Linked DNA regions of Diceros bicornis minor. The protein of the gene in region 3 interacts with the protein of the main gene of each other region in a pairwise test. Links are inferred from orthologs where the notes say so. Each region holds a gene or a part of one and is shown on either strand. Other genes may lie near its edges.

Region 1 (7,480 bases), on a different chromosome or scaffold from region 3:
AAACACTACATAACAAAAAGCAAACAAATAAGGTACCTGAGTACTGAATATGGAGAGGTTGCATTTTTTACCCTTTATGATGAAAATTTTCAAAGCAAATAGTCCAATAAAGTCCAATATACTTTCCACCCAGATCCAATAGCATTTTTTATTTTTCCTTTGATGAAATGTCTAGAAGTAAATTACATATATTGTGGCATTCGCTTTTAACATTTCAGTTTGCACCTCCAAATAATCAATAACATTGTCTTGCATAACTGCATTATCACAACAAAAATATTAGCGATAACTCTGTTAATATTTTTGACCAAATAAAAAAAAACACAGAAAGTGCACAGATTATATTTCCATGTCATTATAGCCACTAAAAAAAGATTTTTAAAGCAACTGTGAGGAGACTGTAAGAAATGATAATACATGCAACTATAGTGCAACCTAAAATCTATTACAGATAGGCAAAAACTAGATGCTTTCTGCTAAGAATAATAAAGAAGTTTAAAATAAATTATTTTATTGACTGTTGAATCCAAAGCTATTCCTAAAGTTCTCATTTCCTGCCATATTCCCACCAGTATCATGGACTGGAAGACTGGGGATAATCGGCTTCAGAAATCTAAACTCATTTGTCCCAGTACCTCCCCTCAGACACACCTCATACTGGTAGCTCTGGGACAGGGTCCCGGTACCGCTGACGTCCACCAGGTGGCCCGGAAAGTGGCCCTCAGGCACCGAGCAGCGACCCAGCGAGGCGGCCCTGCTCCTCCCGCACAGCCGCACCGCGATGAACGCGAGCACCGAGAAGAGGAAGAGCGACGACACCGCGGCCAGGGCGATGACCAAGTAGACGGTGAGCGGGTCGGCCTGCGCCTGCTCGGCCGCCGCCTCCGGCAGCGGCAGGTAGGGCTGCGAGAAGCCGTCCACCAGCAGCACGTGCAGCGTGACGCTGGCCGAGCGCGGCGGCTCGCCGTTGTCCTTGACCAGCACCAGCAGCCTGTGCTTGGGCGCGTCGCGCTCGCTCGGCGGCCTGGCCGTGCGCACCTCGCCGTTGTGCGCCCACACGCCGAACAGCCCGGGCTCCGTGGCCTTGAGCAGCTGGTACGACAGCCAGGCGTTCTGGCCCGAGTCGCCATCCACCGCCACCACCTTGCTCACCAAGTAGCCCGCCTCGGCCGCCCTGGGCACCAGCTCGGTGCAGGGCGCCGAGCCGTTCTGCAGCGGGTAGAGCACGAAGGGCGAGTTGTCGTTGTCGTCCAGCACCAGCACGCGCACCAGCGCCTGGCTGCTCCGCGCCGGCGAGCCTCGGTCTGTGGCGCCCACGCCGAACTCGAAGGCCTGCAGGGCCTCGTAGTCCAGGGACCTCAGGGCGAACAGGTGCCCGTTGTCCGCGTTGATGGACACGAGGGAGGCGAGGGGCAGGTGCGGGTCGTGGGGCGGCAGCAGCGAGTAGGTGACCTGGGCGTTGGCGCCTGCGTCTGCGTCTGTGGCGCTGACGCTGCCGATGTGCAGGGCGGGGCTGTTGTTCTCGCGGACCCGCAGGGTGTAGGAGGTTTGGGTGAAGGCGGGGGCGTTGTCATTGACGTCGGAGACCAGCACGGTTATGCTGTGCTCTGTTTTCAGCCTGGGTGTCCCCGAGTCGGTGACAGTGATGGTGATGTTGTACTCGGCTCTCATCTCTCTGTCCAGTGCTTTTTCAGAAACCAGAGTAAAAAAGTTCTTGAAGGTTGGTTTCAGGAAAAAGGGGAGGTCATCTTGAATAGAGCAAACTATCCTCCCGTTGTCCCCAGCGTCTTGATCTCGGACACTAAAAAGAGCGACAAGGGTCTCTGAGGAGTTCTCTGGAATTATCTTTGTAATTGACGACATGGTCACTTCTGGTGGATTGTCATTTATATCTATTACTTTAACCAGAAGGGTGCATTCTTCTGAAAGACCCCCGCCATCTGTTGCCTGAATATTTATAGTGTATGACTGTATTACTTCAAAATCCAGGCGTGATCTCAAATGTACTTCCCCAGATATTGGATTGATTTCAAATGTTTTACGAATATCTTCTGATGCATGCAACAATGTGTAAGATATTTCCCCATAATTTCCTGCATCCAAATCCTTAGCAGAGATGGTGATAATCCAGGAGCCAACGGGTGTGTCCTCCAGGACCTGCACCTCATAGAGCCTCTGAGGAAATTCAGGGGCGTTGTCATTGACGTCCAAGACCTTGATGAGAACCAAAGTTGTCCCAGTCCTGGGTGGGGATCCACCATCCAGTGCTGTGAGTGTTAATCTGAGCTCCAGCTTATCCTCGTGATCCAACGCTCTGTCCAGGACCAGTTCTGGGTATATTTTTCCATCACTGCTGTCTCGAACTTTAATGTAGAAGTGAGAATTGGGGCTAACTGTGTAGTTTTGGAGACTATTGCTTCCTATGTCCAAATCTTGGGCACTCTCCATTAGGAATGTGGTTCCGATAGTGGTACTTTCTGATATTTTAATAAGTATTTCCTTGTCCAGGAATGCAGGGGAGTGATCATTTATATCTTTGACATGCAGCTCAGCCCGAAAAAACTGTAAAGGGTTTTCCAATACCACCTGAAAATGCAGCACACAGGGCTCGGTGGAGCCACACAGCTCTTCTCGGTCCAGTTTCTCATTTAGGACCAAATCCCCAGTCAGCAAATCGAGGTGCAAATGCTTTTTATTATCCTCAGACACTACCCGGGCTTCCCTTGAGGACAGCTCCTCCACCCCAAGCCCCAGATCTTTTGCCAGATTGGCCACAAAAGAGCCAACTTCTGTTTCCTCTGCCACAGAATAGCTCACAGATTCAAGACCCGCCTGAGACAATCCCAGCAAAACAAAGAGAATCAGGACTTGCCTTTTCTGCAGAGCGAGCGCCCCTCTGATCGCCATGCTTCCTTCAGGCAACTTCTTTTGTGGAAAAATTTAAATTCAGCGCCAATTTTGGAAGCTGAAGCCCTGATTTTTTACTGAGAACCCCCTGGTGGGTAAATAGCCCTCCAGCAGCTCTGTAGAAGAAGCTCCTTTAGTACCTTCCTTTTCAGTGGGTTGGATGTTCTCTCTTCCCCTGAATAATGGAGCCCACAGTGTTGACCATGCATCATTTTCATCTTATCCTGCAGCGCCACCATGTGTCTCTATGAATCCTTTTTCAGTAAGAATTTTTTTCTCTTTGAACAAGTAATTCATGAATACATCTGGAGTATTTTAAAGCAAATCCCAGAATCATGTGTTTTTACCTCTAAATATTTCACTAAGTATTTCTAATAGACAAAGTCTTTTAAAATATAACTTTTAAAATATAACTATGATACCACAATCGACAAATTTACCAATAATTCCTTGATACAATTTATACACAGTCTGTGTTTGGTTTTCCCCAAAATGTTTTCTACTGTTGATTTGTTTGAATCAGGATCCAAAGAAACTCCATATAGTACATTTAATTAGCTATGTTTTGAATGCCTGTCAAGAAGAATCCATTAAAATGTTCTGAACTGAAGAAGTAATATTTTATTTAGGCCATTTCTTGAGTAATTGCAAATATATTCTCTCCTCCACTCTTGTAAATACTTGTTGAATCAGTTAATTATAGTTAGTAATGTCATTTCTTTTTTCACCAATATATTTTTAAAACTACACATGTAAGGACATGACATAAATAAGATAGAGATAATCCTTTATGGAGCTCACAGGCTAGAAAATTTGGCAGACAAGTAACTAAAATATGTCACAATGTTTTCATAGGTAAAGAGTAATATAGAAATACCTAGAAGGGACATCTTGTACCTAGGAGGCAGCATTGTGTAGTGGTTATGGACATGGATTCTGGAACCAAAATATCTACATTAGAATCCTAGTTCTGCCACTCACTATCTTCAGACTTGGGCAAGTTATGTACCTCTGTTTCCTTACCTGTAAAATAGGGACAATAATGGTATTTACCTCCTAGGATTATTATCGTAGGAATCTAATGAGTTAATATTTACAAAGTGGCTAGTAAGTGCTAGTTAAGTGTCTGTTAAAAATAAAACAAATAAAATCTAACACAGATTTTTGGACATCATTGAAAGCTTTCCTAAGGTAGTAAACTATAAGTTGTGATCTGAAGGAGCTAGCCAGGAGAAGGAGGAGTGTTTCAGACAGACATTTTTTTGTTTGTTTGTTTGTTTTATTGATGTTTTAATAGTTTTTAACGTTGTGAAATTTTGAGTTGTACATTTTTGTGTGTCCATCACCATATATATGTCTCCCTTCACCCCTTGTGCCCACCCCCACCCCCATTGCCCCTGGTAACCACAATACAGTTTTCTCTGTCCGTGAGTTGGTTTATATTCCACATGTGAGTGAGATCATACAGTGTTTGTCTTTCTCTTTCTGACTTACTTCACTTAACATAATACCCTCCAGGCCCATCCATGTTCTTGCAAATGGATGATTTTGTCTTTTTTTATGGCTGAGTAGTATTCCATTGTATATATATATACCACATTTTCTTGATCCAATCGTCAGTTGAGGGACACTTAGGTTGCGTCCACTTCTTGGCTATAGTGAATAATGCTGCAATGAACATAGGGGTGCATAAGCCTCTTTGGATTGTTGATTTCAGGTTCGTTGGCTAGATTCTCAGTAGTGGGATGGCTGGATCATAGGGCATCTCTATTTTTAATTCTTTGAGGAATCTCCATACCGTTTTCCATAGAGGCTGCACCAGTTTGCATTCCCACCAGCTGTGTATGAGGGTTCCTGTTTCTCCACATCCTCTCCAACATTTGTTGTTTTTTGTCTTGGTGATTATAGCCGTTCTAACGGGCGTGAGGTGATATCTTAGTGTTGTTTTGATTTGCATTTCCCTGATGATTAGTGATGTTGAACATCTTTTCATGTGCCTATTGGCCATCTGTATATCTTCTTTGGAGAAGTGTTTGTTCATTTCCTCTGCCCATTTTTTGATAGGGTTGTTTGTTTTCTTGTTGTTCAGTTGTGTGTGTTCTTTATATATTATGGAGATCAACCAATTGTCAGATATATGTTTTGCAAATGTTTTCTCCCAGCTGGTGGGTTGTCTGTTCATCTTGATTCTGGTTTCATTTGTCTTGTAGAAGCTCTTTAATCTGATAAAGTCCCACTTGTTTGTTTTTTCTTTAGTTTCCCTAGTGTGGGTAGGCATGTCATCTGAAAAGATTCCTTTATGACGAATGTCAAATAGTGTGTTGCCTATATTTTCTTCTATGAGTTTTATAGTTTCAGGTCTCACCTTCAGGTCTTTGATCCATTTTGAGTTAATTTTTGTGAATGGTGATAGCAGAAGGTCCACTTTCATTCTTTTGCATGGGGCTGTCCAGTTTTCCCAACACCATTTATTGAAGAGACTTTCCTTTCTCCATTGTATGTTCTTAGCTCCTTTGTCAAAATTAGCTGTCTGTATATGTGTGGTTTTATTTCTGGGCTTTCAATTCTGTTCCATTGATCTGTATGTCTGTTTTTGTACCAGTACCATGCTGTTTTGATTACTATTGCTTTGTAGTATGTTTTGAAGTCAGGGATTGTGATGCCTCCTGCTTTGTTCTTTTTTCTTAGGATTGCTTTAGCTATTCGGGGGCTTTTGTTGCCACATATGAATTTTAGTATTCTTTTTTCTATTTCTGTGAAGAATGTCCTTGGGATTCTGACTGGGATTGCATTGACTCTGTAGATTGCTTTAGGTAATATAGACATTTTAACTATGTTTATTCTTCCAATACATGTGCATGGGATGTCTTTCCATTTCTTTATGTCATCATCGATTTCTTTCAATAACGTCTTGTAGTTTTCATTGTATAGGTCTTTCACCTCCTTGGTAAGATTTATTCCTAGATAGTTTATTCTTTTTGATGCAATTGTAAATGGTATTATCTTTTTGAGCTCTCTTTCTGTTAGTTCGTTATTAGCATACAGAAATGCAACTGATTTTTGTAGATTGATTTTGTACCCTGCGACTTTGCTATAGTTTTTGATTATTTCTAATAGTTTTCCAACGGATTCTTTAGAGTTTTCTATATATAAAATCATGTCATCTGCAAATAGTGAGAGTTTCACTTCTTCGTTACCTATTTGGATTCCTTTTATTCCTTTTTCTTGCCTAATTGCTCTGGCCAAAACCTCCAGTACTATGTTGAACAGGAGTGGTGAGAGTGGGCAGCCCTGCCTCGTTCCTGTTCTCAGAGGAATGGCTTTCAGTCAGACAGACATTTTGAGGAACGGAGAAAAGTTCAGTACGCCCTGAACTTTAAACCATGAAAGGGGAGAACTTAAAAATGAGACTGGGAAAAAATCAAGGTGAGGACATAAATGATTATATAGGTTATATCATGCACTTTATAATTTATCCTAAGGGCAATTAAAACACAATGTGGGATTTTAAGCATTTGCTGACATGATCACATCCGCATTTTTGAAAAATCAGTTTGGCCAAAGTATGGAGACTCAATTTCAGGGGAATGACTAGAATCAGAGAGACCAGTTAGGGGATGATGGTAGCCTGGGTGAGGTGATGCTAGTGTAGATGGGGAGAAGAGGGATGATTAGAAAGATATTTAGGAGATAAAAGTATTTAAGTCCAGGTGATTGATAGGCTGCATTGGGAGAAAAAGAGGAAAGACTCAAGGATGATTAACACACATCTGGATGGGCAACTGGATGGCTACTGGTGTCATTCACTGAGACAGAACACAGAAAAGAAACAAAACAAAATTGAAGTGGAAAAAGATGAAGTCAGTTTTGGACATGCTGATATTGAGGTAAGTACCTATGGGCTATGTATGTGTGTGTGTGTGTGCATATGCACATGCCTGTGTATATTTGCATGTGTGTACATATATAACAGAAGCACAGGATATAAATCTGGGCTGCAGATATGGACTTTGGGATTCATTAGCATGTACATGGTGATTGAAACCATGAGAGCTCTAAGATAACCAAGCTAAAGTGTATCAAGTAAGGATAGAAGAGGCTTAGCACAGAACTCTGAGAAACACCTTCATGAGAAGAGAGAGGAAAAGAAGTATCTTTTAAAAGACGAGGAAGGCCCAGAGTGCAGAATCATGAAACCAAAAGCAAAAACCATTTCAAGGAGATGATGAAGATCAACAGTAGCAAATGCTTCAGAAAATTCGAGAAAAATAATTATTAAAATTATCCAGGGGATTCAAGAAGATGATCATTGTGGAGGATTCTGATAGATGTCTGCCAAAATCTGTTCCCTTTCTTTACATAATAGAACTGTACCCAGGCACATGGCTACTCAGATAGATTGCCTGTCCCAGCCTCCCCTGTAGTGAAGTGTGGCCAAGTGAATTAAGTTCTCACAGATTGTGCATAGAACTTTTGTTTGCCTCTCCTGGGTCTGAAATGGAAGACATCTGGATGTGTCCCCTCCCTCCCAGCCAGCTAGAACCCAGTTGTGGCAGTGACCCAGCTACAGTCA
Region 2 (7,937 bases), on a different chromosome or scaffold from region 3:
CCTTTCACACTGTTGCCAGGACAATCTGTCTAAAAGACAAACACAAACAAAAAACCATTTATGATACAATTGAAAATTTGAACACTTCTGGATATTTAATAATATTAAGGTATATATATGTATATGTATTAGTTGTGTTAATGGGAATGATATAATGACTGGGAATATCATATTTTCTTCAAAACAATATAGGGGTGGGGAAGTGGATAGGGGTTTGGAGGGGTCAGGATTGGCCATGGGTTGATGGTTCTTGGAGCTAGGTGATAGGTACATGGGGGTTCATTATATTATTCAGTCCACTTTGGTGTGTGTTCAAAATTATCTAGGTTGAAAAATTTTTAAAAATCCAAGTGTGATCATATCCTTCTGCTTGAAAGTCTTCAGTGACTACTTAGGCTAAAGCCCAAACCATATAGCACACCTGGTTTTTCTGACCTGACCCTGACACCATGTCCAGCCTCAATTCTTGCCATTTGTCTTTTCGTATCCTGTGTCCAGCTGCATGGAGTCTGTGATTCCCTGAATTCACAGTGTTCCTTCCTGTCTCTGTGCCTTTGTATGTGCTGCTCCTCAGCCTGGATGCTCTCCCTGCCTTTTGGCTTTCCCTAGCTCTTCCATACCCAGGTCAGGTATCACCCTCTCTAGAAAGCCTCCCCTGGGGTGAGTGGAAGCATTCTTCCCATTGTTGTAATTGTCTGTCTCCCTCTGCTAGACTCTCAGCTCTTTGAAGACAGGGACAGTCTGACCTCTGTGTTTCTACAAGTGGTTGGCACTCAATAAATGATCGTAGAATAAATGGTTATTCATCTTTAACTTCCCGACACCCAGCATGGTGCTTAACACTTGCTCGATAAATGTCCATTGAGCGAATGCTGTTGAATGTGAACCACTGTGTTTTTACTCGCTGTATATAGGAAGCTGTGCTCCCCACAGTCTTGAGGTAGGGGTGGTAGTTGAGAGTAGAACTCGCTGGCAGGGTATGAGAAAAAGCTGGGGAATCGTCAGAATTACTTTCTCCCAGCTTTTGTTTCTTCTCTGCAGGCATGGGTTGGAATTGGAGCCACTCCCCCGACCTGACTACAACCAGCATCATGTGGTTACTAACTGCTCTTCATTCACTTCTTGATGCCTCCCAGAAAAAAACGCCGCCCAAGTTGCCAGAAAGCCCAGCTGCTATTCCACCATCAGCCACTGGAGAGCCCCAAACACCGCTATGGATCTCCACAGCTTCCCATCACCTACACTAGGCAGGTGCCCAGCAAGCCCATTGACCACAACACCGTCACTTCCTGGGTAGGCCATGGATTCTTACTGTGACCTTTACTCTGTTAGGTTTCTCACAATGCTGACTCTTCTGCCCCTTGAACCAGGGCCTCCAAAGAATAAGAAGATTCATGGGGGCAGGGACAAGGAGATAATATACTCTTTCTGTCATCGTCAGCCATCTTCTCTGGTATATCTTCTTTTCTAAGTTCAAACTGAGGCATGGTGTGGTTGGAATTGGAGTCTCCCGCCACATTCCTCTGAGAGAGTTCAGTATCAAAGTTTCACCTCCCACTAGCTGGGCGAGAAAGCCAGATAAGTGGCAGAACAAGTACAAAATGGGATTGTTCCCTGAGCTTCACGTGAGAGGTAAAGTATTTGGGTAGGTACTCTATTTACTGTTTAATAGTCTGAACCTTGAAAAAGAGCCACAGAAATGGCATATGTCATATTTTGTTAAAAGCCCTGGAGAGAGAACATAGCTCCTATAAGTCAGGGAAGTAGAATAGCAAAAGAGCCAGACAAAAGCATAAACTCTGCCTAAGAGTGCTTAATAAATGTAACTTGTCGGGGTTGCTTGGAAAAGCCATAATATTTGCTTCAGGATTGTAGAAGAGACTTAAATGTTAGAATCCTGGGGATGAGAAGAGGAATGAAATTTGTTGAGAATTCATTATGTGCTAGATCCTATGCTAGTTATTTTGCATACGCGGTCTCACTCCCTATTCTTGCATTCAGCCATTCATTCATTACTGGGTCCTTTCCTGTGTCAGGCACTCTGCTAGGTGCTGGGGATCAATGGTGAATAAGGCTGGTCGCTGCCCTCAAAGTTTAAAGATAGTTAAGTTGCAGCCATATGGTGTGATAAAGTGAAAGAGGCATTGTCCCCTTTCTTACACATGAGGAAACTGAAAGCCAGAGAGATTAAATAACTTGCCCAAAGCTCATATCCTTATCTATCTATCACATTAGACAGGTGTTTTTGTTTTGTGTCCATTACTATAGTAGGCCCCCATTTGGGATTCTGGACGTTGGGTGTAGTTTCCTTCCTGAGGTTTGTACTTGGTAGTTGGCTCTCCTCAGCTTTTTTTTTTTTTTTTTTTTTTTCATCCTTAGGTATCACCTCAGTTTGATACAACAGCAGAAAACTCGTTCCCAGCCAACCGGAAACGTCGTCGCAGAGACCAGGCAAGACATTCAAGTCGAAAATCTACCACCTCCAAGTTTCCACATCTAACATTTGAGAGTCCACAGTCTTCTTCCAGTTCAGCCACACTTGGGATCCCCTTAACCGGGGGATACCCCAATCAATCAGAAAAGGACATTTCCAGAAGGCCCTTCATTCCAATGCTCAGTCCCCAGAGCTGTGGGGAGCTGTCATCACACGCACTTCAAAACTTGCCTTATGTGTTCATTCCACCTGAAATCCGGACCCCAGAGTCATCTTCTGTGAAGGAGGGGCCCATTCCCCCAGATCAGAGGGAAGACAGCCTTCCAAGCTGCTCCCTTCACACTAGTACTCCCAAGAGCCCAGAGCCTGGGCCTGTTCTGGTTAAAGACACTCCTGAGGAGAAGTATGGGATAAAGGTCACGTGGAGGAGACGAGGGCACCTGTTTACTTACCTCAAGGAGAGAGGGAAGCTGAGCAAAAGCCAGTTCCTTGTGAAAAAGTGACTGGGTTTCTCAGATAACAGTAATCTCAAGACATTGATTGCTGGTTTTCACAGAGTTGCTCAAGTCGCTTTTCTGGCTCACAAGATAGCACATCGATAGAATAAAGTGGAAATAATACCAATAACATCAATAGAAAAAGATATTTTAACTAGACCCCTGGAGTCATAGGGAATTCAATTCCCAGATTTACTTTTTTAAATATCTTGTCATAAACAGTTCTTAGTGTCATAAACTGTTTACTTCATATTTTTCTTGTATTAACTGTTTCAAATTTTAACGTATCTTGTAGTAACTGTTTAAAATGTATGTAAACAAATGGTTGCAGGAACTTTTTAGAGAACCCTGCTTCTGACTGCCCCCTCCACAGAGGGTCTTTCCTAATGGTTTCCTTTAGCCACTACTCGTTAATCCTTTAGTCACCTCATGCAAACCAATTCATTCCACAGTTTTGAGTACTGACTCTGCGTCAGGCTCAGTGGCAGCTTCCTCTATGACCTGATGGATGGAAAAAATCTAAGCAAATTCTGTGACTTTTTATAGTTGAGCTGCCGCCTCTGCAACCTTGGCTCCTCTGCTGAAAGGAGAAGATTGAAGAAGGGGCAGCAAGCCCTGTTTAGTGAATACAGTGGGATCAGGGCAGGTAAAGGGGACATGAGTAAGTTACTTAGGTTTGCTGTGTTTTGATTTTTATTTCCAACCGAAGAAATCTCTAAATATTAAATAGGGTGGGAAAATGATTTCTTGCAGTAACTGTTTGAAATGTATGTAAATAAATGTGGAAACTTTTCAGAGAACAGTGCTTCTTATTGTAATTAATGCGGGACTACCCAGTCAACAAAATGTTTCCACTGGCCTTTCATCGATACAAATAGCATTTCATTCAACTCCATTCATTCAGCTTTAAGAACCCACTCTGTCAGGTCCAGCCGAGCCAGAAAGCAGGGATTATTGTGTTTGTTTTACGGACGGGAATTTGAAACACAGATGGTGAACCACGCTCAGGGTCGCATGGTGGGTGGAGGCTGGCCCAGTGAGTGCCGTGCTCTGCTCTTCTCGCTTGTGCCAAGTTCCATGCCTCTTAGAAATTCAAAACCAATGTGGAAACAACTTTGACGTCGGAATGCTATAAACTGAGGTCAGTGTGCAGTAACTGTCCGGATGTTTTGTGGGGACCATAACGCTGTATGTAAGTTGGTGGTGAGAAAAGAAGTGATGGTTGGGGACAAGATTTACTGGAAACGATAGCACAGATTTACACAGCGGATCTCGTCATGGAGTATGGATGTTTGAAGACGGTCCATAGGCTGTAGAGAGAGGTCATGGAAAAGATTGTCAGGAGAGTCCGTGGAGAAGGTCTAGAATGCTCTAAAAGCCTGGGCTGGAGTGGGGAGGCTGAAGGAGTTTTGTGCAGTTGAGTGCAAGACCAGGTAACTATATGAAAGATGCATTTAATTGGGTGTGACTGCTGCAGAGGGGACAAGTGTGGCTCCCAGGAAGGCCCTGGTGTCAGGGAAGGGGCCGGTCTGTGAGGGAGCGGGCAGAGATCTGCAAGCCCTAACATTACAGCCCTCGGGAAGCGCTCTGGGTGGTCTCAGTACAAACGGCAGAGGATTGGGGACGCCGCTCCGCGCGTGGCGGCTAGCGGGGGTAGGCGGCCCCTCCGACGGACTGGCTGCCTCGCCGCGGGAGCCCACGCGGCCGAGCGGGACCCAACACTCGGCCCTCAGCCCCTTCCCGGCGCCGCGCTCCAGGGCCGGAGCCCCAGCGCGTCAGCCCCGCTCCGGCGCAGGCGCCTCGCCTCCCGGTTCCTCCGCCCCTAGAAACCCTCCCGCAGCGCCGGGCGGCGGCCACAGCCAATGAGACAGGAGCGGCGGCACGAGGGCCAATGGGCGGCGGCGACAGTGCGGGGTGCGTTGCCAGGGGCGGGGCCTGGCTGCCGGCCAGGCTTGCCACCCTAGCAGCGGCGTCCCGGGGTCTGGATGTGGTTGTCTCCTTCTGGGCGGCGGGGATGGAGGCTCCGCGCTGCCGGCTCGGACCCCGCGGGGACAGGTCAGAGACGGGTGGTGGCTGGTCTCGTCTCGAGCGGGCGGAGGGCCTGAGACCGCGGCCGTCCTTGCGGGGGCTCTGAAGCGAGAGCGCTCGGTCGGGGGACGAGGCGGGAGGCGAGCAGAGGACCCCTTTTACAGGGGCGCGCTGGGGAGCAGCGGCTCTGCGGCGGCGCCGGGAGTGGGGCCTTCGTGTTCGTGTTCAGGTCCCAGCTTGGGAAACTCGTGGAGCTTTTTACGAGCTCGCCTTGCCCTCTGTGGGCCTCCTCACTCGGAGCGCGTTACCCTGCCCCTCGCACTGCCCAGCAGTGTCATTGCTGAGGTTGCATGAAGTCTCCGGGCTGTTGAAGCGGAAGGTTCTGGGTGATGTTTGATAGTTTGCTTAATGCGGTTGCGTCGGGCAGGCAGTGCTGAATTCTGCAAGAGTCCGACGGCTGAAAATGCAAAACTAGTCATCTTTTGCTATCTGCTTCTTAGTAACTCGCTCTTATGCGGCGTTGTCTGTCGTATTTGCAGTGGACCATGCCCCTTGTTTGTGCTCCTCTTGCTCTGCCATGCCCCTTTTTTCCTGCCTCCGCCAGAGGGAGAGCCTGGAAAAGAAGACGATCCGAAATCTCAGCCTGCCAATTTCTTGTTAGCTGGGTTAATGAAAAGTTAACGGGGAGCAGTGTGAAATGATTGGCTTAAAACTTTGGCATTGTCTGAGGATTTATTCTATTACCATAGCAAATAAAGATTTAGCATGTAAGGACTTAGTCTGATATTTAGACTAGTCGATGTTTAAACAATTGTAAACCATTTAAAAGCGTTGTCAGGAAGGAGGCGTTGGGGTACAGAACACTCATTTTTCTCTTTCATCAGATTTCATTGACGTAATAGCTGCGCTCTGTGAAATGTGTTCGCTGCTCTTTTTTTTCAAGTGGAGAGAAAAATATGCTACATTTACGAGTACAAATATGAAAATGCTAGGAGGAGGTAAAGTTAAAATTCAGCGTCTGTGTTGAATTCAGATGGTGCTTGTTAAGTTGTGGTCACTCAGTAAATCTTTTTTTTTTTACGAGGAGATCAGCCCTGTGCTAACATCTGCCAATCCTCCTCTTTTTTTTTGCTGAGGAAGACTGGCCCTGGGCTAACATCTGTGCCCATCTTCCTCTACTTCATATGGGACGCCACCACAGCATGGCTTGACAAGCAGTGTGTTGGTGTGCGCCTGGGATCCGAACCTGCGAACCCCAGGCCACCGCAGCGGAGCACGAGCACTTAACTGCTTGCGCCACCTGGCCGGCCCAGTAAATCTTAATTGAATGAATTTCAGGGAGTAAATTTCATGGGTACGAGATGTTTGATATGACTCATGATTTTTGAAAAAAAAAAATTGAATTGACTGAAATTGAGACAAGGAGGCAAAATGGTTTTTAATTTATTGGACTTGAAGTTTAAAGGGATAATTTAGAAGTTTTTCTGTCTTTTTTCTTCCCAAAGAAACCAGCTCTTTAATTTTAAATCCAAGGGGAATGTGTGAGTCACGGAATGTTCCTCCTGCAGCAGGTACTGTTAGTGCAGCTTCTAGCACAGTTTAACTCATTCGTTGCTGAGAGAAAGTGGAATAGGTCTTGCTTTTTTGGCTTTAATGGTTTTGATGAAATACATTGATAGAGTTTTTGGTATTAATACCTTTCAATGTGAAAGATAACATCTGACTTCTAAGTTTCTTGTGATTTTTTTCTTCTTTAATTATGTGACTCTTTTACCATGAGGCGGATGTATTTTCAACAAAGTATGGTAGTCCCCTCTTGTCCGTGGTTTCTTTTCCCGGGTTTCAGTTATTCGTGGTCACCCATGGTGGGAAAATATTAAATGGAAAATTCCAGAAATAAACAATTTGTAAGTTTTAAATTATAAGCAGTTCTGAGTGATGAAATCTGGAGTGGTCCAGCTCTGTCCCACCTAGCACGTGAATTATCGCTTTGTCCAGGTATCCACTGTGTGTACCTACCGGCCTGTTAGACCGTTAGTTAGGGAAAAATAGTACAAATGGGGTTCGGTACTACCCGTGATTTCAGGCACCCACTGGGGGTCTTGGAACGTTTCCCCTGTGAATAAGGGGGCACTACTGTAGAAAAATTATTAACAAGTAAACTCCAAATGTTTTTCCTATATCTGAAATATTTAGTGGAAATTGGAGATGGAATTTGAGACAGCACTCTCGGGACTTTTGTTGGGGCTAGGCATTTTGTATTATGGGTTCCCTGGAGATGACAGTGGTTTGCTACTCCTACAACTTGAGCTCCCTCTAGCCTTTTGTTCCTGATAGAAAATTGAAGATGTGATGAGAGAGACTTTTCTTTCTCGGTGTGATGAGAGAGACTTTTCTCGGTGTGATGTGACCTTGTGACCCAGAGTTGACTAAGAAAGTCCTAGTCTGTGGTTTATCCATATGCCATGATTTCTCTTTAGAAATATGAACAGTAGTAGTGCCTGAAAGTTATGTCTTGGCCAGGCTTGTTATCCTCTCTCATGTTCTCTCTTTTTAAAATGTTTCATCAGATGGACTAATTGTTGGCAAACAGACTTACCCAGTGCTTAAAAATACTTAGATTAACTTATACATGACCTCAGTATGTTTGGCAAATATCGAAAGCTATGGTAAAGGCCTAATAACATCTAGTGTGCGTGTGTTTTCCGAAATGTGAAGGCTACATACAGACCTAGGAAGGAAAGAATAATCCCTGTAATAAATTTCCCTTCTTCCAAGATCCTTCTGTTCCAAGCAGACAGACTCAGATAGTTTTTGGAATAGTTTCATTTCTGGCTTCTCTTATTTCCTGTGGAAACTCCGCTGTTTTCCCTGCATTTGTGCCCGTTGAAAGAAAAAGTTAATGTTTCCTCTCAACCAAGAGGAAAAGTATGCTTGAATTACTCAGAGGAGTTGAAGCTGCGTTGCTTCTCCCTATT
Region 3 (6,947 bases):
CATGTAGACCCCTCCTAATTGCTGCATCTATAGGTTAAAAGAGCACCTGACCAAGCTCGTTAAAATTGTAGGTAAAATCAGGGTTCCTAGGCTCTAACTAAAAGCTATGTGCCATCTCGTGAATAAAGTGTATGTGCTTTAGCGCAAGCTCTTAGTTTTTCAGAAACCACCATCTTTGCCCCCTTACTGAGAGCTAGTGCCAGAAACAGGGCTGGCTCTCACCTGTGTTCTGGATTTGAGGTTGCCAGACAACTGCAGTGCTACGGCATCAGACATGATCCTTCTTGTTCAGGGGCTTCCTCCCACTATTAAAGACTAGTCATTTTCAAACAGTGTGCAGCCAAGCTGCAGGGTCCAATGGCATTGCCTTGGGCTGGGGAAGGGGGCAGACGGGGGAGGGGGAGGTTGGGCTCTGTCCCTAACACCTGACTGCAGTTAAATCAGTATGTCTGTAAATTGAGCTTCAAAATACTCCTATCAACCTCGTCTGATCTTACTTCTCTGGGAGGTAGGAAGGACAGAATTTTTCTCCCCATTTCACTGATATGGCCCAAAGACCCAGCGATCTGCTATGTTAATTGAGGGATAATGAAGTGCCCCAGGTGCAAGCCCAAGCACTGGAGTCAACATGTCAGTTTAAGCCCAGCTGTGTGACCTTGGGCAAGTTACTTAAGCCCTCTGTGCCTCAACTTCCTCCTCTTAGTAACAGGGATAAGGATAGCATCTACTTCATCACTTTAAATGAGTAGATAGATACACGGTCCTGAGAACAGCATCTGGCACATCTGTAGTGCTCAGTAGTCTTAGTTTTCCTCATGGACTGAGCTGGGCTGAGCCTCAGGAGGAAGTGTTAGAATTCAGAGCCCTGGGAGCAGTGATGCTGACAGTGACCTTCTGGGGCATCTGCCTAGGCTCAGTGTGAGAGGCTCCCACTGGCCACTTCTCTCCCCCTCCCTGCTCTGGCCTTCCCCAGGGAAGCTGTACCCCTAACCCAGGGCTAAGGAGTCAGCAATGGAGGGGAGGAGGCATCCGGAGGCCATGAAGCCCGCAGCGGCTCAGAGGTGGGGCAAGCCTGGGCGGGCTGCCACTCAGGAAGCTACCACAGGTAGGCTGCTTTCTTGCTGCTGCTGCCGCCACACCCTGCTCCCTCATATACCATCCCCTGCTGCCCAGATCCTGCCATGAGGCTGCTCCTTGCCCCAGCTCTGCCCCGGGGAAGATGGGCCCAGATGTCCTGGAGGTAAGACACTTAGGATCTCCTGGCCTGCCCTGGGCTACGGAGCACCCTGGATTTCCAGGCCCTACTTTAACTACACACTTAAAGTCAGAGGTGTGACGTGGTGACTCACCACCCCCCTGTCTTCCCCCACTGCAGCCACCCACCCACACCTGCCAGCCTGATACTTGGGATGGGCCGAGCCAGGTCTGCCTCCATCAGATTCTCCAGGCTGGTTCCAGCCCCTCTTTGAGATGGGGAAATGGAGGCCCAGAGAGGCACAGGGTGCCCTCCCCAGGCAGCCCACTGCCCACTGGGCAATCAGTGCCAGCGAGAAGCAGGCCACTCACACACTGGCCATAGGCTTCAAGCAGAGCGTGGACCGGAAGAGAAGGAAGGCTCATTAGCTCTCATCCTCCTGGCCGTAGGCCCCAGGAAAGGGCCCAGGGAGGGCAGGCTGTTGGCTGAGGCTGAGCTGGCTGAGCAGAGGGCCAAGGAGTCCTCTGCGGGGCTGGAGGAGGGGCACCCTCCGGACAGCCACATTCCTCAACTCTAACCAGAGAGGTCTCCACTTTCCCAGTGAGCCATTAGGGAAAGCCAGAGCTTGAGGAGCAGGCGGGAAGGTTGAGAGACAGCTGGAAAAAAGCTGAGGGGATCTGGGGCTTGCAGGCCGTGTGGCCTGCGCCAAGCCATTTCACCTCTGTGAGCCCGCCAGGGGCCATAATTTCACGGGGAAAGGACTTGATTTGTGCCTGTGCTGAATTTAAGAAAGCAAGCAAGGAATCACCCAGCCCTGCTGCCTCCTCAGAGGACCTCTCAGGTCTTCAAGGAAGAAGGGTGGGTGAGGGGATGAGAATTACCATTTGGCATGCCAGCAAGTTGCCAGGACTTGATGACGTTAGATCGCCTTGTTTAATCCTTCCATTCAGTTGGTATGTTTATTAATATTTATCTCTACTATATAGATGGAGAAAATGAAACTCAGAGAGGTAAAATGACTTGTCCAGACTCTAAATAGCAGAGCCAAGATCCAAGATCAAGTTTGTCTGGTCCCCAAACCCACGACCCCCGCCTTCCTTCGCCTCAAACTCCCACCCATACATTAGACTCCTCTAAAAAGATCCTGCTGTGGAGAGAGGGTCACCCAGCCCTGGGAGCACAGAGGAGATCCCTCATCCACCGTGGTGAGTTTGCAGAGAAATCAGTGGCCCAGGCTAGGACCCCCTTTATCTTACAACTTAGAAAGGACAGTAGCCCAGGTCACCTCCAAGACAAAAATCTTCCAAGACAAAAAACCAACCACTATTTTTTATAAGAAAACCCCCTTCTTGGAGCCACATCCCCATGAACTGCCACAGGAAATTTCAGCCAAGCTGCCCGCCTCCCCCGGGGCCCATTTCACTTGTTCAAAGCCCCAGCCGTCTTCACTCACCCAAAAGGCATCTCTGAACTGAAGCTGGGGCATCATCCTCAGGCGTCTGCCACGGCAAAGCTCACTCTCCTGCCACAGGCAGGGCTGAACAGGGCCAGGAGCCAGGCGCACCGTCCCAGACCCGGCAGGGCTGGCCCAGGCCCCCCCTCCCTGGCCGGCGCCGTCTGCAGTGCCTCAGAAGGCAGCTGCAAGCCAGGGACGCGCTGCTGCGGGAGGAAGAGGACTCAACTTATTTTGTTTGGGGCTAGAATCAGCAGCAAAATGAGGAAGGCGGGGTGCCCAGGGATGGGAGGGCGGGTCCCGGTGTCCGGCCCGGCCCCTGGCCAGCCCCGTGGGGATGAGGACACAGCCCAGGCTGCAGGACTGAGAGGAGTGGCCAGCGGGAGAGGCAGACTGGTGCAGAGGCCAGGTGGGCAGGCAGCCTGAGGCCTGAGCAGGAAGGTTTGTGCAACCTCCTCCGGGGCAGGCACTAGGGCCATCGCCCACAGGAAGTAGAGCTGCTGTGCTCCCCGGCGCAGCCCCGCCTGCCACCTGCCACCCTGCTGCCTGCCTCCTCCACTTGCCCCTTTCTCATGTCCTAGCTGGCCGTTCTCAGAGGCCATCAACTTATGGAGCCTGAGGCCCAGGGAAGGTGTGGGCAAGGAGGGAATCAGGAACCCAGGTGCTGTTGCCCACCACCCAGCCCCACTCCAGACCAGGCCCAGAGATGCTAGACTCTCCACCCCTCACCCACCCATTTGGGAGGGGCTTACCCAGGCCCAGGACATCCCTCTCATTCATCAAACCCTGGCTGCTCAGGGCCCCAAACCATGTCGTACCCTCAAGGAGCTCACGGTCTGGGGGCAGACACAGCTGGGGGCTGGGGGCTGTGGGAGCACAGAGGTGGGATGAGCCGGTAACTAACCAAGGGAGAACAGCATGAGGCCTGATGGGCACTGCTCCCCTCCCCCCAGCTCCAGAGTAGACACTCTGGGGCAAGAAGCCACGCTCTGAAGTTGGAGTCTTCAGGCTGGAAGAATGTGGTTGGACCGAGAGAGACAGGATTATAAAGGCATTGGAAACCCAAACTGAGGCCCCAGTTTTTGTTTTGTCTGGGCCTTACCCTTCAGTGGTTGAGGGACCTTAATCGACCCTCCAACTCTCTGAGCCTCAGTTTCCCCATCTGCCAGCCCCCAGTCTTTGGGAAGGAGACAGTGTTGAGAACATTACTGGAATTTCTGTTTGGTTGGGCAGGTGCTGGGGTCACTGTCTGGTATCTCCTTGGGAAGATCCCTGGGCTGGAGCCCCAGACACAGCTCTGAGGAGCTAGGGCCTGCCCACTCAGCAGAAGGTGCCGGCAGGGGGGCCTGACCCCAGGGTGGGTTGGCAAGAAGGGATGAGTCAGGCTTGTCCACAAATCACCACCCTTGCCACTGCCTCCCCTACCATTGACGGAGGGTGGTAAGACGGATGAGAGCTGCTGCAGAAGAGAGCTAAGCTCCCAAGTGCCAGTTATGTGTGCCCAGGGTTACAGATGGGGCACACCCAAGCTTCTGAAATAGCTGCCCAAGACAGAACACATCAGGGAGAATTGCAGACCAGTGGGGCTGCCCCTGGGAGCCCCCTACCTCCAGAATCCTCGGGTTTGAGTTAATACACACCCTCAGCATTGAAGGCACTCCAGTTGGTTTTTCTGTTGCTTGCAGCTGAAGACAGCTAATGGTGTAAATATCACCTTAAACCCAGAAGGCTAAGTATTGAGGCTGTACCTCATCCCCATGGCATAACCACTTCTGATTGCACTGACTCAGCCTCCCTGGCCTCAGTTTTGTGACCTATCAAATGGGGTGATGCCTCTAGTTCTGGAGGCAGACTAGAAACCCCCTGTTAATAGAAAGCTCCCACTCTCTTATTAGCCAGCCCTGGTGGTCTAGTGGTTAAGATTCGTCGCTCTCACTTCTGTGGCCCAGATTTGTTTCCCTGTCAAGGAACCACACCACCTGTCTGCCGGTTGTCATACTGTTGCGGCTGCGTGTTGCTGTGATGCTGAAAGCTATGCCACTAGTATTTCAAATACCAGCAGGGTCACCCCTGGTGGACAGGTTTCAGCGGAGCTTCCAGACTAAGACAGACTAGGAAGAAGGACCTGGCCACCCACTTGTGAAAAAATTGGCCATGAAAACCCCATGAATAGCAGCAGAGCATTGTCTGACATAGTGCTGGAAGGTGAGAGGAAGGCACAAAAAGACCAGGCAGGGTTCTGCTCTGCTGTACACAGGGTCACTAGGAGTTAAAATTCACTCAGTGGTACTAACAGCAACAAACCCTCTTATTGGCAGAAAATTTCATGGCCAGGCCCCCTCCCCTGCCTCTCCAGGGGTTCTTTTCATCATCCCCCTGAATTTCCACTTCAAACAGGACTTTACCCTCTCCCCAAAGGTACCCTTCCCATCCCTACCTCCACACCTTTGCCCCTTGGTCCCCCAGCCTCCCTCCTGGCATGCCTTCCTTGATCTTCCTGACCTGGGTAAATTCTCCCATCCCTCAAGGCCCCCACATATGAGGCCTTCATTTCCCAACTGCTCTGGTCCAGCCAGGGCAGCCCCAGACGGATGGCATGCTGGTTGTGGGCTGGAGCAATTGGGGAAGGAGTAATGGGAGGCATCTAAGGAGACTCTCAAGTTCTCCGCCACAGAGAAATCTGCCTCCTCCCCTCCCCACCACCCCAGCTTATGCAGCTCCCAAGCCTGTGCCACCAGAACCGCCAGTCAGCTTGGGAGCACTTGCCAAGTGTTGGGAGCACCATTAAGCTTTCTACGTGGGTCACCACGCTTAGCCCTCACCCCATCCTGTGGGGTACACACTATCATCATTCCCACTTCACAGAGGAGCAAACTAGTGATTAAAGAGTTTATGTGACTCACCTAAGGCCTGGCGGCCAGTAAGCAGAGGGCTGGGCTTCGGACCCAGATCTGTCTGATGCCAAAGCCCACGCATGCTGTTAACCTCCACAGCTATCTTTTACCGACAGCCCTCTCTTAACAGTGGGTTTCCCCCTTTCTTTCTCCAGTTCTGCCTCCAGAACATCTCACCCTGATCTACAAGTGGAAAAACTGAGTCCAGGAAGGCTGTTGGGGCTGGCGGTGCTTTTGGGTGAGAGTCCAGCCCTGGTACGTGGTCTTCCAAGTTCACTGTGTTATTTGCACCCGCTAAGGATGCTTTGGCTGCAAGGAACACACAACCAGAGGGTCTGGCATGGAGGAAGTGTGTTATCACCCACACAAGGGATCTGGATGCAGTGTGGCCTCCGGGTGGGGTACATTGGGTCCCCAGCTCAGTTTCTCTGTGATTTTCCTCCATCTCCTATCTTCCTCCTCAGGCTGCAGCAGCTCTGGCTTACAACTCCACACACAGCTACATCTACAGGAAGAGAAGGGACACTTCTCCTTGTGTCTCATTTTCTCCAAAGTCCTCCCCACCCCAGCCTCCCAGGAGACTTTCCCTTGTGTCTCGTTGGCCAGAAGTGAGTCACATACTCATACTTCACCATTATTGGCCTCCCCTGATCCCTTGATTGGGGTGTTATGGATGTTGGGAGCCAACCACCGTGACCACCACAGCCTTCTCTCAACCAGGTCCACAAACACTGCTGGGCACTAACTCCTGCCAGGTCCTGCTGGAGCTAGGGCTCAGAGAGGATATAGACCTAGTCTCCGCCCTGAGGGGTCCACAGACAGGTTCTAGAAAGATCTCTCCGGATGCGAAGTGGCTCAGAGGAGGTGAGACCGGAAGAGGGTGTTGTAATAACTCTGAGAGAGGGATGAGGCCTGGATGGGGCAACTGGGGTGGGGGGGATGGGTTGGTGGGACATCGGGGAGGTGGAGGAGCAGGATGGAGACATCTGAGTGTCCCTCCCAGAAAAGGGAACTGTTCTCCAGCCTCCCTCCTTCACCAGCCCCCCGGGGAGGGAAATCCAGTCCTGAAAATCATAGCTTTTTAACGACTGTTCCAGCTGCTTCAAAACACAATTTGCCTTGAGGTCTGGGCTGCTGCACCTCAGGCCAGGCTGTCACTCTTTTTTTAAGGGGGCGTCCCCCTGTGCAGGCAGAGCCCCATCCTGTTTTGCATGGGATTTGAACACATCTGCTTGAAGAATTCAAAAAGTAGTAGGTCCAAGGATTGAGAATAAAATGTGAAATCAGTTTTTACAACATCAATCACCACAGCCAGTCACCTGGCAGGGCTCAGCTCCTGAAGCCACTTCATCCATTCTTTTGAGCCAAATAAGCAACAAAAACAATAGTGCTAGCCACCACTAAG

What was found.
Region 1: the proteins of PSTPIP1 (region 3) and PCDHB14 interact in binary tests that used the Homo sapiens proteins (3 or more experiments, as listed by UniProt). The two-hybrid records come from large-scale screens. The link is inferred for Diceros bicornis minor from reciprocal best matches to the Homo sapiens genes PSTPIP1 and PCDHB14.
Region 2: the proteins of PSTPIP1 (region 3) and TULP3 interact in binary tests that used the Homo sapiens proteins (3 or more experiments, as listed by UniProt). The two-hybrid records come from large-scale screens. The link is inferred for Diceros bicornis minor from reciprocal best matches to the Homo sapiens genes PSTPIP1 and TULP3.

The regions. Positions count from the first base shown.
Region 1 is NC_080740.1:59,408,016-59,415,495, reverse strand, and holds PCDHB14 (protocadherin beta-14), read right to left. Parts: upstream 3,044-7,480; 5' UTR 2,908-3,043; coding exon 511-2,907; 3' UTR 296-510; downstream 1-295. UniProt on the Homo sapiens protein: Potential calcium-dependent cell-adhesion protein. May be involved in the establishment and maintenance of specific neuronal connections in the brain.
Region 2 is NC_080756.1:58,499,149-58,507,085, reverse strand, and holds the start of TULP3 (tubby-related protein 3), read left to right. Parts: upstream 1-4,894; 5' UTR 4,895-4,945; coding exon 4,946-4,986; intron 4,987-7,937. Other genes in the region: RHNO1 (RAD9, HUS1, RAD1-interacting nuclear orphan protein 1), read left to right, coding at 1,126-1,293, 2,380-2,937. UniProt on the Homo sapiens protein: Negative regulator of the Shh signaling transduction pathway: recruited to primary cilia via association with the IFT complex A (IFT-A) and is required for recruitment of G protein-coupled receptor GPR161 to cilia, a promoter of PKA-dependent basal repression machinery in Shh signaling.
Region 3 is NC_080744.1:69,298,181-69,305,127, forward strand, and holds the start of PSTPIP1 (proline-serine-threonine phosphatase-interacting protein 1), read right to left. Parts: upstream 3,082-6,947; 5' UTR 2,685-3,081; coding exon 2,649-2,684; intron 2,174-2,648; exon of another isoform or gene 2,080-2,173; coding exon of another isoform or gene 2,077-2,079; intron 1-2,076. UniProt on the Homo sapiens protein: Involved in regulation of the actin cytoskeleton. May regulate WAS actin-bundling activity. Bridges the interaction between ABL1 and PTPN18 leading to ABL1 dephosphorylation.